3 linked regions of the Alligator mississippiensis genome follow. The protein of the gene in region 1 interacts with the protein of each later gene in a pairwise test. Links are inferred from orthologs where the notes say so. Each region holds a gene or a part of one and is shown in the gene's direction. Other genes may lie near its edges.

Evidence for each region.
Region 2: the proteins of HSD17B14 (region 1) and CA8 interact in binary tests that used the Homo sapiens proteins (3 or more experiments, as listed by UniProt). The two-hybrid records come from large-scale screens. The link is inferred for Alligator mississippiensis from reciprocal best matches to the Homo sapiens genes HSD17B14 and CA8.
Region 3: the proteins of HSD17B14 (region 1) and MPG interact in binary tests that used the Homo sapiens proteins (3 or more experiments, as listed by UniProt). The two-hybrid records come from large-scale screens. The link is inferred for Alligator mississippiensis from reciprocal best matches to the Homo sapiens genes HSD17B14 and MPG.

The regions. Positions count from the first base shown.
Region 1 is NC_081828.1:39,480,202-39,483,801, reverse strand, and holds the start of HSD17B14 (17-beta-hydroxysteroid dehydrogenase 14), read left to right. Parts: upstream 1-1,283; 5' UTR 1,284-1,322; coding exon 1,323-1,410; intron 1,411-2,499; coding exon 2,500-2,544; intron 2,545-2,764; coding exon of another isoform or gene 2,765-2,801; coding exon 2,802-2,902; intron 2,903-3,138; coding exon 3,139-3,205; intron 3,206-3,600. UniProt on the Homo sapiens protein: Catalyzes the NAD(+)-dependent oxidation of L-fucose, yielding L-fucono-1,5-lactone, which rapidly converts spontaneously to L-fucone-1,4-lactone. Can also act on D-arabinose and L-galactose, with lower catalytic efficiency. Does not use NADPH.
Region 2 is NC_081826.1:68,392,215-68,396,033, forward strand, and holds the start of CA8 (carbonic anhydrase-related protein), read left to right. Parts: upstream 1-1,492; 5' UTR 1,493-1,622; coding exon 1,623-1,701; intron 1,702-2,569; coding exon 2,570-2,761; intron 2,762-3,819. UniProt on the Homo sapiens protein: Does not have a carbonic anhydrase catalytic activity.
Region 3 is NC_081836.1:21,549,744-21,553,562, forward strand, and holds the start of MPG (DNA-3-methyladenine glycosylase), read left to right. Parts: upstream 1-1,111; 5' UTR 1,112-1,257; intron 1,258-3,819. UniProt on the Homo sapiens protein: Hydrolysis of the deoxyribose N-glycosidic bond to excise 3-methyladenine, and 7-methylguanine from the damaged DNA polymer formed by alkylation lesions.

The DNA.
Region 1 (3,600 bases):
GCCTCTGAGGAAGGCTTTTTAAAAACACCTAGACACCCATAGCAGAAAGGTGGGAGCAACCAGCAAAGCCCGGGAAACCCCCAGAGCAGAACACAGGCAGAGCTACACCTAGATCATTCCTGACCAGTGCCTGTCCAACCTCTCCTTGAGCCCCTCCAGTGATGGAGAGCATACAGCTCCTCTAGGCAGTCTAGTCCACAGCCTCACTGCTCTAGCAGTAAAGAGGTTTTTCCTGATATCCAATTGAAACCTAAGTCTCCTGCTCTCTGAGTCCAATTCCATGCCCCTATAAGAACCAGCCCAGCAATCAAGGGGTTCACCCCCCTCCCCATACCCCAGACCAATTGCATTCCTCCCACTCCCTTTGCTACAAGCAGGTCAGTGTAGCAACAAAATGCACCACCATGGGGTGAAAGCGCTAGTTTTGGTTCCAGCAGGAGTATTCATAGATTCATAGATGTTAGGGTCGGAAGGGACCTCAATAGATCATCGAGTCCAACCCCCTGCATAGGCAGGAAAGAGTGCTGGGTTTAGATGACCCCAGCTAGATGCCTATCTAACCTCCTCTTGAAGACCCCCAGGGTAGGGGAGAGCACCACCTCCCTTGGGAGCCCATTCCAGACTTTGGCCACTCTAACTGTGAAGTTCTTCCTAATGTCTAGTCTAAATCTGCTCTCTGCTAGCTTATGGCCATTATTTCTTGTAACCCCCAGGGGCGCCTTGGTGAGTAAAGCCTCACCAATTCCCTTCTGTGCCCCCATGATGAACTTGACACAACCCAATTGGCACAACCCAATCCCAATCCCCAAGCAGCCAACACCCAATGCCTTGAAGGGAGGCTTAAAAACACCTTGACACGTGCAGCAGAAAGGTGGGGAAGGGGGCAATCAGTAAAGCCCAGAAGCCTGGGAAACCCCATAGCAAAACACAGGCAACCAGCACCACTGCTGCCCCCCACTTCCTGGGAATTACATGTGTAAGGACCCCAGTGGTGCAGGGACAGATTAACCCTTTAGTGGACCCTAGGGAAACCAGCTGAAGATAAAATTTGTATATTCCTTTTTTTCACTCAATAATTATAATAGGTAAAATAAGCACAATTGGGTCTCTTCTTCACTTAGGGCCCTAGGCATGTACCTAGTTTGCCTATGTGTTAATCTGGCCCTGCAGTGGTGACCCTTGGTAGGGGATGCCCTATTCCAATCCCCCCACAATCAAGAGACTATATTTCCCAGGGTGCATCTGTCTCCCCTCTTCCTTTATAACTCCTGCCCAGGGGGAACACGTGATCCCGGATCAGCTGGGGCTGGGCTGGCCTGGCCATGGCTTCGGGGCTGCGCTACCCAGGCAAGGTTGCCCTTGTGACGGGAGGCACGAGGGGCATCGGGGAAGCCATCGTCAGGGAGTTTGGTAAGGGGGGACAGAGGTCTCTGTGTGCTGGGGCTGGGATGGGTAGAGCAGGAACTGGAGTGCAGTGGGTTTGGGGGTGAGTGGGACTGGGGGTTATTGGGTGTGGGGTGGCTGGGGGAGCTGGGATCAGGGTGCACTGGGTCTGAGGGGATGGGATGGGGCAGGGCAGGGACTGGGTACAGTGGGCTTGGGGATGAGTGGGACTGGGGGTATTAGGTGTGGGGGCTGAAGGGAGCTGAAGTCAGGGCTATTGCAGGGACTCTGTGGGAAAGCCGGGGAGGTGGGGGTCAAGGAGCAGGGAGTCCTTGGGGTGATGCGGAGGGGGGCTCTGGGCTGGGGCAGGGGCCTAGTGAGTTGTGGGGCTGGGATTGTGGGGGTCAAGGGGTGGCATGGGGGAGCAGGGAGGACGGGGCTGCCATGTCTGACCATGGAGGGGTTGGGGGCTGAGGCATGGGGTGGCAGATATAGTGGGGGATCTGCAAGGCTGGGATTGGGGCCTGGGTGGGGAGAGGACTTTGAGGCAGGGCCAAGGCTTGGACCCAGCTGGACTTTGTCTGTCCCGAGACTGTTCATCCAGCAGGTCACTGACTTGGAGGGGGGAAGAGGCCAGAGATATGAGTGTGGTGGGGGGGTAAAGCCTACAATGTACCCCACCTCTGTCCCCTGCCTTTGTTACCCAGCCCTGGGTTTGGCCTGCCCCTGTGCCCTCCACCACTAACAGCTCCTGTCAGGGGGGACCCTGATGCCCACCCCAGCTTTCTGTCATGGGGCTGAGCTGGTGGTGAAGAGGCTGTGTTAGCCCATCCCCCCCTCACCCCCCAGCACCAAATCTTGGCCCTTCCATTTCTATGAGACATGTATAGTGCAGGGAGCTGGTCAGTAGGGGGCAGCAGAGACCCATCCCTGCCTGGGGGGATGTGGAGGGTAGGCTAGGAGGAAGCTTGTAGCACTGAAGCAGGGGGGGGGGGGGGGATGTTGCCTCTGCCTGCACTGTAGGAGGAAGCGTGTAGCACCAGCCAATCTCACACTAACCTTGTCCTCTTACTTTGTCCCCTTGCAACTCCACAACTCCCCCCTCCACCCACACAGTCCATCAGGGAGCTCATGTGGTCTTCTGTGCCCCAAAAGCTGAAGGTGAACCTCCCCACCCCACCTCCTGTCCTTATCTCCCCTTCCCCGTGGGGCTCAGGTGGAGGGAGGCTTCCCCTTGCATCCCAGGGCTGGGGTGATTGGGACTGGGGACAGGGTCCTACACTTCTGGCCCCCAGATCTGTCCCTGCCTGGTATTTATGGATGCCCCCTTCCCCTTGGGATCTCCCATTCCCCCCAGTATCTAATGCTACCTCCTCCCCAGCTGTTTCTCCCCACCCCTCTTCCCTTTTCACTTGCAGAGGAGGTGGGGGAGGCACTGGAGCAGGCACTAAAGGAGTCGGGTGGCCCCGGGAAGCCGTTCTTCTGGCCCTGTGATGTCACCAGTGAACAGGATATCCAGGTGGGTTGGGCTTGGGGAGGAGTGGGGGAGAGGTCTTTAAAGAGAAAGCAATAGGGGTCTCAAGCCCCCCTGCTCATCATACAGCACCTCAAGATGGTAGGCACTTGAGGCTGGGTCTGATAAGGCCTGTCCCTCCCAATCTGCCCTGAACCCCAAAAATCCCTACTGTCCTCCCCTGATTCCCTATACCCCTGGCTCTCTCCCTCTGACCCCTGCTCCTTGCTCCCCTCTTCCAGGCCCTGGTATCCACAACCCTGCAGCGCTTTGGGCACCTGGACTGTCTTGTGAACAATGCCGGGCAGCGTGAGTCACCCTGATAGTGCCAGGGGATCTTTGGAGGGACCCTGACGGGGTAGGGGGGCGGATGCTGTATTAGGGAGCTCCTCCTGCTGGGAGGGGTGTTGCACATTAGCAGGATCCCCAGGGGCCAGGGGGGTATAGCAGAGTAGACGTGCTGCTCCTCCCAGGTAGTTGGCTTTAAACTTTTGGTGGAACAGGAATCAAAAGGGGGTGCAAGTCCACCAGGGCACCCCTTGGATCTGCCTCAAAGGAGTTATTGTAGGCTGGTAAAGACCAGAGCATTTAGTTGTGACTGTAGGAGTGGAGAGGAGGCTGTGGCAGCAGGGTCCCTGGGACACGTGGGTTCAAGAGGGCAGGGGCTGGGGCTGTGGCCAGGACTCAGGCAGTCATGGGCAGAT
Region 2 (3,819 bases), on another chromosome or scaffold:
AACTATAGCTGCTGCTGAAGATTGGACTCCATGTATCCAGGATTTGGAAAAGAGCTAAAAACAGTCCAAAGGGCTGTGAAATAGGGGGAGAGACACCTTGAGTAGCTAATATACAGCAAAATTGCTGAAGAAAGCTTGATTAATGGAACATTAAAAGGAGAGTTGTTGATATCTGTAGACTGAAGAGCAATTAGCAAGAATCAGGTATAAAGAGCTATGAAGTCAGCCCTGCCTGAATAGAAATGCTATGGCTGCAGCCAGGCAGTTGGTTTTAAATTTGGGTGGCGCAGGAATCAAAGTGGGGTGCAACCATGCCACTGTACCCCTCTGGATCTGTCCCTGCTGGACTTTGCCTCCCCCTCCACATGGCTGCTAGAGGGAAGAGAAGTAATAGCCATCTTATACTGTGTCTTCATACTTCTATTTTGGGCAGAAAAATTATCTTCCTCACTTAAGATACATACCCACTGAAGATATACATGCTACAGGCAGTGTTTCCTGGTCCCAACCTGCTTTTAGCAATTTGACAGCAGTGGAGGGTGACCATATTAATCGCCACCACTCCCCCACTGCCAGATTTCCTGACTCTTGGGGAGCCCTGTGGGCTGGATGCCATGGCTCCATGGGCCAAATTTGGCTCATGGGCTAGAAGCACCCCGATCTACACTGTCTGTCTGTGCAGCCTACATGGTCTTTCTCCTCAGTGTTCCCCAAATACCAATTTCTGTAGTGCATAGCCACCCATAGCCTCTAGGCCAGCGGTTCTCAAACTGTGGGTCACGACCCGAAATAGGGTGACGTCAGCTGATGGGGTCACGGGGGTGGGGGGCTGTGGGTTGGGAGTGAGGGGCTATGCTGAGGAGACGGGGCCATCAAGGGGGTCATGCTGAGGCAAAGTTTGGGAAGCGCTGCTCTAGGCCAACGCTTCTCAACCTTTTTAGACTTGGAGGTGCCCCTTGTTCAACTCAATCTGCCCCTCAACGGATGTCAGCCTTTAGCCTCCACTCCTTTGGTGCCTGCAGAACAATGGTGGAGCAGTGGCTCCCAGGCGGTTGAGGTGGCAACATCAGTGGATGGGGGGCTGTGGGTTGGGAGTGAGGGGCCATGCTGAGGAAAGGAGGACCATCGGTGGGGTCATGCTGAGGAAGCAGGGCCAGCAATGGGGGTCATGCTGAGGACAAGTTTGGGAAGTGCTGTCCTCCTCTCCCAGCAGGTCTTTTCACTCTGCCCCTTTCTAGTTGAAGGCTCTGGGTTGCTCTTGCAGGGGTGTTGCCTGGTTCAGGACACAGGCAGGCAGCTGGGATAGCTTTCATTAGACCAGCTGAGTACTTGGAGAAAAAGTTCTCTGCGATGCCAGGTTGCTCTTGTGCTGCTGTCGGCGCACCTCCGGCCCGCCCGGGGTGTCGGGAGCCCCGGTCCCCGCCTGCGAGAGCCCGCCCGGGACTGCAGCCACACACCCCTCCTCGCTGCTACGTGTGTGTCACACACACACACACACACACACAGGCACGCGCCGGCTGAGCCTCCAGCGGCTGCCTGATCCGCACCGGACGCAGGGAGGGAGGGAGGCAGAGCGGCGCCCTTCCCGGCCACAGGCAGAGCCGAGAGCGGGGAGCCTGCCCATGGCTGACAAGAGCTTCATCGAGGAGTCCGAGCTATGCCCGCGGAAGGACGAGGCTCTGGAGTGGGGCTACGAGGAAGGTAAAGGCGGCGGCACTCGCCCCCGCCCGGGGCTTGCTCCGCAGCGCGGTCCCGCAGTGGCTCCGGCGCCCACCTGCAGGCTCCCGGGCGCGGGCAGCGGGCTGGCGCCGCTCCGCCGCCCGACCCGACCCGACCCGACCCGACCCCAGCTCCAGCTCCAGCTCCTCCTAAACGAGCCCCCACAGAAGGGAACCCGGCTTGTTTCAAGGTGCCCCCAGTGTCGCTGCGCCCAGGACCGGCCAGCCCAGCCCATGGCTTAGAGCACCAGAGCCACCCGACTTCCTAGTATGGCTGGAGGGATGGGTCTGCTTTGGGGAAGACCCCGCCGACAGCTTGCTAGATGCTTATTTCTCATCCGAGAACTTGATTTCTGGCTTGTCTTGCACAGGGGGAGGAATTTTCCTCACATTTTCTTTTGTGCAGAAGCAAACACTAGTGGTGGACTGTTGGGGCTGCAGTCGGTCTCCTAAATGGACCCTCCCATGTTTTGAAAACTTGTCTTTAGAAAGCCTGTGGGAGCAAGGGTGGCTTTAAAGAAATCCAATGTTTTAGGGTAGCGAAGCACTGGAGCAGGCCACCCTGAGAGGTTGTGGGATCTCCTTGGAGGTTTTTAAGACCCTGGTAGACAAAGCCTTGGCTAGGATGATGTACTTGGGGATGGTCTGGCTTTGAGCAGGAGGTTGAATAGATGACCTCTGGAGGTCCCTTCAAACCCTAATTTTCTATGAATCATTTGGGTTTGAGGCTGATACTGAGGGAAAGGACTCACGTGCCTGTCATTATTTGCCTTTGTCCTAATCCCCCTAAGATTGCATCTCCATCACGGCAAAGCTCTCTGAATTTATTTCCACATGATTACATGTTGCAGGAGTGGAGTGGGGACTGATCTTCCCTGATGCAAATGGGGAATACCAGTCTCCGATCAACCTGAATTCGAGAGAAGCCAATTATGACCCTTCTCTCCTGGAAGTGCACCTGACACCAAACTATGTTGTCTGCCGGGACTGCGAAGTCATTAACGATGGGCATTCGATTCAGATTGTCCTGAAGTCAAAATCAGGTATGCTCCAACAGGGTTTCCATCTTTCCTGCACAGAGCAAAACATCATTTTATGGTTTTTATTGGTGTATAAATGTGCAAGGTGTATTGTTCATGAAGCAATTGATCAGAGAAGCAACACTTCCTTCTGTGCAACTGGGAGGCTGATCATCGCTCATCCTGGCAGCCAATGGGAATTTTGCCCCTGACTTCAAAGAGAGCAGGTGGAAGTCTTGTGCATTGATTATAGCCCAAAACTGGACTTTCTTTTTGAGAACCTGTTAGAAATCAAATCATTCATCCTTAAGACAAGGACCTTTGTTGTCAGTTTGTTTCAGAGGATGATGCATTGCTGAAAATAGGCACTTCTGGCCTTGTGACCTAATTCCCTTCAGCTAACAAGTGCCTGTAGTTCAGAAATAGCCAAGAATATAACGAAGATGTTGTCCAACCTAAATTGTATCATGTAGTTTAGTTGATTAAGATCTGTGAACCTGACCTAAAGCCCATGTAAGTCAAGAGGAGTCTATATTAATTTAAATGAGTGCAGAATGAGACAATGTATGGATACTGTGGACTATGATTTGATCTAGCATAGATGATTTGGAATGAAACACTTACAGTGCTTCTGCTGAGAATATTGACAATGAACACATTTTCCAGATGCGAATGGATGTCAGTTGTAGTGGCATTGCACCACTATTTACCTCAGAATTAATTAGAAGGCAATAAAGGAAGCATTTCCAGGTGCAATTCTGGAAGAATTCCAGGGCCAGAACATTGACTCTGGATGAGTTGTCAGTTTTGCAGGACTTGAGGTTCAAGAAAGAAGGGGGAGAGAGGTAATTCTTTGTGCTTGTCCTATTAGTCAGGGGTCAATTCAGCTCATGTGTAATTCAAGGAGTCTTAGATTGGTTCTAACCTATGCTGGCTGATAAAGTGTGTTGTGGGGTCTGTTGTGTACCTGACAGTTGCCAGAGTACAAGATATTCCAGTAGTGCCTCCTCCTGGCACTATCAGGCTCCCTAGATGATATCTCCTGGTTTCCCATGCTGAGGAGATCTATAGGCACTCCTTGT
Region 3 (3,819 bases), on another chromosome or scaffold:
CATCTTCCACCTTTTATGGGCCTCCATATCTTATCTCATTCCTTGCTATAGCTGGTTCACAGCACACAGGCTTAACTGCTGCTTTTTCCAGAAAAATGGTTGACACAGTTTAGATGGTTACTTAGTATAAGCAAATGGCTGGCTTAGCTATCATTCTGTAGGTCTGCTAGGCCACAGGTCATGCCTTGTATTCAGCTGCAAATCCAGCACTCTCTAAGATTCAAATATTGTCACCCTAACAATAATATCCACCAAAGCCAGGAGTATCCGATTTGTGGCCTGGTGTACAAGTCCCTGGTGTATGCTGCAGATAGCAAATAATCCCCCACATCCTTAACTACCTTTCTTCAGTGGTTCAACCACTTCAGTGGTACAGTTAAAAATCTGTTTGTACTCAGAATTTGCCTAGCTTCTAGTCACTGGTAGTGAATACCTCTGCCTGACAGATCAAGTAGTCTAATGCTATTAGAAATCTTTCCACGGAGGTCCTTGTAGTCTGTGGTCAAGTCACCCCTTATCCTTCTCTAAAGAATTTGATTATAAGGCAGGTTTTCCAGACCTCAATTAGTTCCTGCAGCTGCTTTCTACAGCAGCAACAGAAGTTTAGTGCATGAGTGACTGGTGCCTCCTGAACCTGGGGGGGCACCCGCAGAAGCTGCCAACAGCTCGGGGGCACCAGCCCCGCCAAGAGTTGGTGCTGGCCCTCAGGCAGGGCACCTGTGGGGGGGAGGGCATGTGCACCCTTGTGCACCCTCTACCAGTCACCTAGGGCTTAGTGAGTGTGATGCACTCCAGGCTTTGCTCCGAGGTTCTTTCTTTCATAGTGTACATGTTACTGAAATGCCTGGCTGCTATCCCTTCTGCCGACATCCTTCCCGTGCCAATAAACACGGGCAGGAAACAGCAGCAACCGTCAACTAAGCAGAAAGCTGGCGCTGAAGCCTCACCTCAAGAACAAGCCGGGACAGGAGGGGGAACGCTCTGCCCAGGCCCGGGGCGAGCTCCTCAGCCCGGCGCTGCAGGCACACCCGGCCTGGCCTTGCCGCGACAGCGGCGGCTCCAGGAGCATAAACTAGGGCCCGGCTGGCGCAAGTGGCGAAAGAGACGGGGAGGAGTTAGACAAGGCTCCGAGCTGACGCTCCGCCGGAAGGCGGCCTGCGGCGCGCTCCTAGCAGGAGCTGCGCAGGCGCAGCGTCGGGTGGGTGTGGCTCCCGGCTCAGCGCCGAGCTCCCGCCGAGGCGACTGGCTCAGAGGCAGGTGAGCTGGGAGCGGTTGTGGGTGCCGCGCTCGCGTTTCTCAGCGGTCCGGGGGCTGCTGGCTGAGGGGCCGGCTGCTCTGCTGCTCACTCCTGCCCTGCTGCTTTTAGGCTGCTTGGCGGCTTCCTCGTGCAGCCTAGGCTAGGCCGGCTTTGGAGGTGCTTACTGCCAGCAGCTAGAGCATTTAATGGGCCTTGTGAGAGCCTGCTCTGTGGCAGCAGGATGTCTCCTGGACTGAAGCCTGGCACTGCATCTGGGCACCGCTGCCATGTCTGTGAAGTGTGTTAGCATCTGGAGTCTTGGCTTGGTATGACACTGGCCCTGTCGCTTCAAGAACAGCTGTAGGCACCCACTGTGGTTTGCTTGCTTGGCTTTGGAGGTGCGCAGCTGTGTTTGGTTTGGACATCTGTATGGGCGGAGAACCCGAGTTTTTGCTTCTGGTGCTCAGCTACAAGTCTGGGAAGCTTTGATGTATACAGGTCTTTAATTTGCTTTTCATCAGTCCTTCTGTGAGGCTTCAGCCTTGGATTTGCATGCTATTGTAATAAAAAAAAATAAACCAATTGCAAATTCCAGTTACTATCAGCAGTAGGCCTCTGTTCTGCTGTGAGTATTTCCCATGTTTCTGGGCTTTGCTGGTTGCTCCCTGCTATGTGTGTCAAAGTGTTTTTAAGCTTCCCTCAGAGGCATGGGGTTTTGGCTGCAGCCAAGGGATTTTGACTAGGGTGTGCCAGTGCTTTTTCTAGGACTGAAAGCCAGAGGTACCTGGCTAGAGCATCCTGCCCCTCCACTCTGGGTCAAACCAGTGCTGTATTTGGGGTCAGGAAGGAATTTTACCCCATGGCCAGATTGGTATGGACTGTGGGTTTTTTAATCTCTCTTTGTGTGCTGTGTGCCATGTGTGGGGGGGGGAGGTCCCTACACCCACCCCACAAACCTCACACACACCTACACCTTGTCCACCCAAGTTCCACACTCCGGCCACCCTGCTACCAGTGCAAACCCCAGGCTCCGGACTTCCACCAGTCCCACACTCCTGGCCCAGCTGCAGCTTCCCTACTTCCTGCTTGGAGTGAGCACTGCAGCAGAGACAGAAGGAGGAGCTGCTGGAGGCTGGGGAAGGTGAGGAGGTCCCCTGGTGGTGGCAGCAGTGGGCCTGTCTGGAAGCTGTGCATGCTGGCTGGGGCCCTCCCACATGGGAGGGTGGGAGTGAAGCATATGTGCCTGGCGGGGTACAATTAATTGGTAGGTGCCTGTAAGCAGGACGAAATTGCCTGGTGGGCCATACTTGGCCCATGGGCTGTATTTTGTCTGCTCCTGTTTTAAGTCAACAGCTTGTTTATTGTAGTCAACAAGTCTTGTTTCACATGTGACAATAGGTGGTTGATTTTGGAGAGCACAGCATTTTTTGTCTCTTGTGAAATTAAGGCAGATGTGGAATCCTGAGGATCCTCTGTGACACATGGAATACCCTGGAACAGCACTGTGGTGTAGATCTTCTGTTCAGGTGTGTTTTCTTCACAATTGACAAACCCAGTAGTACAGGTATCTGCAAGTGCTCAACAGGCTGAAATTTTATTCAGATCAGCATAAATATTTGTGTCGGTTGAAGGTATGCCCTGCTCATTTGACTTTTTTCTGGATGGCTTGAGTTTCTGATACACATTTAATGTGATCCTTGTGCTTACAATGATTGTAGTTAGCATGGCAGAAACAGCCTCTGTTTTGTCTGTGGAGTCCACCATAGCTATAGGAGCTTCTGAAGGATGGAGAATTAATTCTTCAGTGAGCTGGTGGTGACTTTGGAAAACTCCTTTTGGACTGTACTTAGTGAGCCCGATGTCATGTTTGCAGCAACATTTATATCTCCTTTGAATGGAGAGATGCAGCTTCATGAGCAAGTGCTACTTCTTGAACAGCAGTAATTGTTAAGTTTTGCTGTTGGTGTACAGAGATGTGGGTTTTCTGGAAAAAATTTCCAATGCCCTAAATAGAGCATGGTCTGATTTAGCATGTTTATTTGACTTGTATTTAGTAAACAGAACTAAAAATGTTAATTTTATTTCCCAATAACCACAAGTATTTGAACTGAAATATTTGATTAGGAAAAAAATTAAATACAGCACACTTAGTATGGTTTAAATGTTATATTCAAACAAATTTTAAAGCTTTATGTGGGAAGAAATTATTTTTATTGAAATACTTGTAAAAATGTAAAGAGAATACACAATAGCGTGTGCTTCTCTTACCTTGCTTGTATCGATTTAAGAAAAAAACAAAGGCACTGAAAACTGTTGATACACTCATTTTAGCACACCTAAAGAACTGTGCACGATATGCCGTGGTTATCCACTCATCTACTTCAACAGAGTTAAACTCTCTTCCACAGAGGTCATCACGGCACCTCCAGTTTCACTGTCACTATCTGCAGAATCACTTGCACTACTTATTAGTTCCATTTCAGAATCAGTTGGAAGCAAATCTGATTCAGAACGACTTGAACCACGTTCTCTATTGCTAAAGGATGGTTTTACCAAGGAGTCTGTCCGCAAGGGCAATTTAT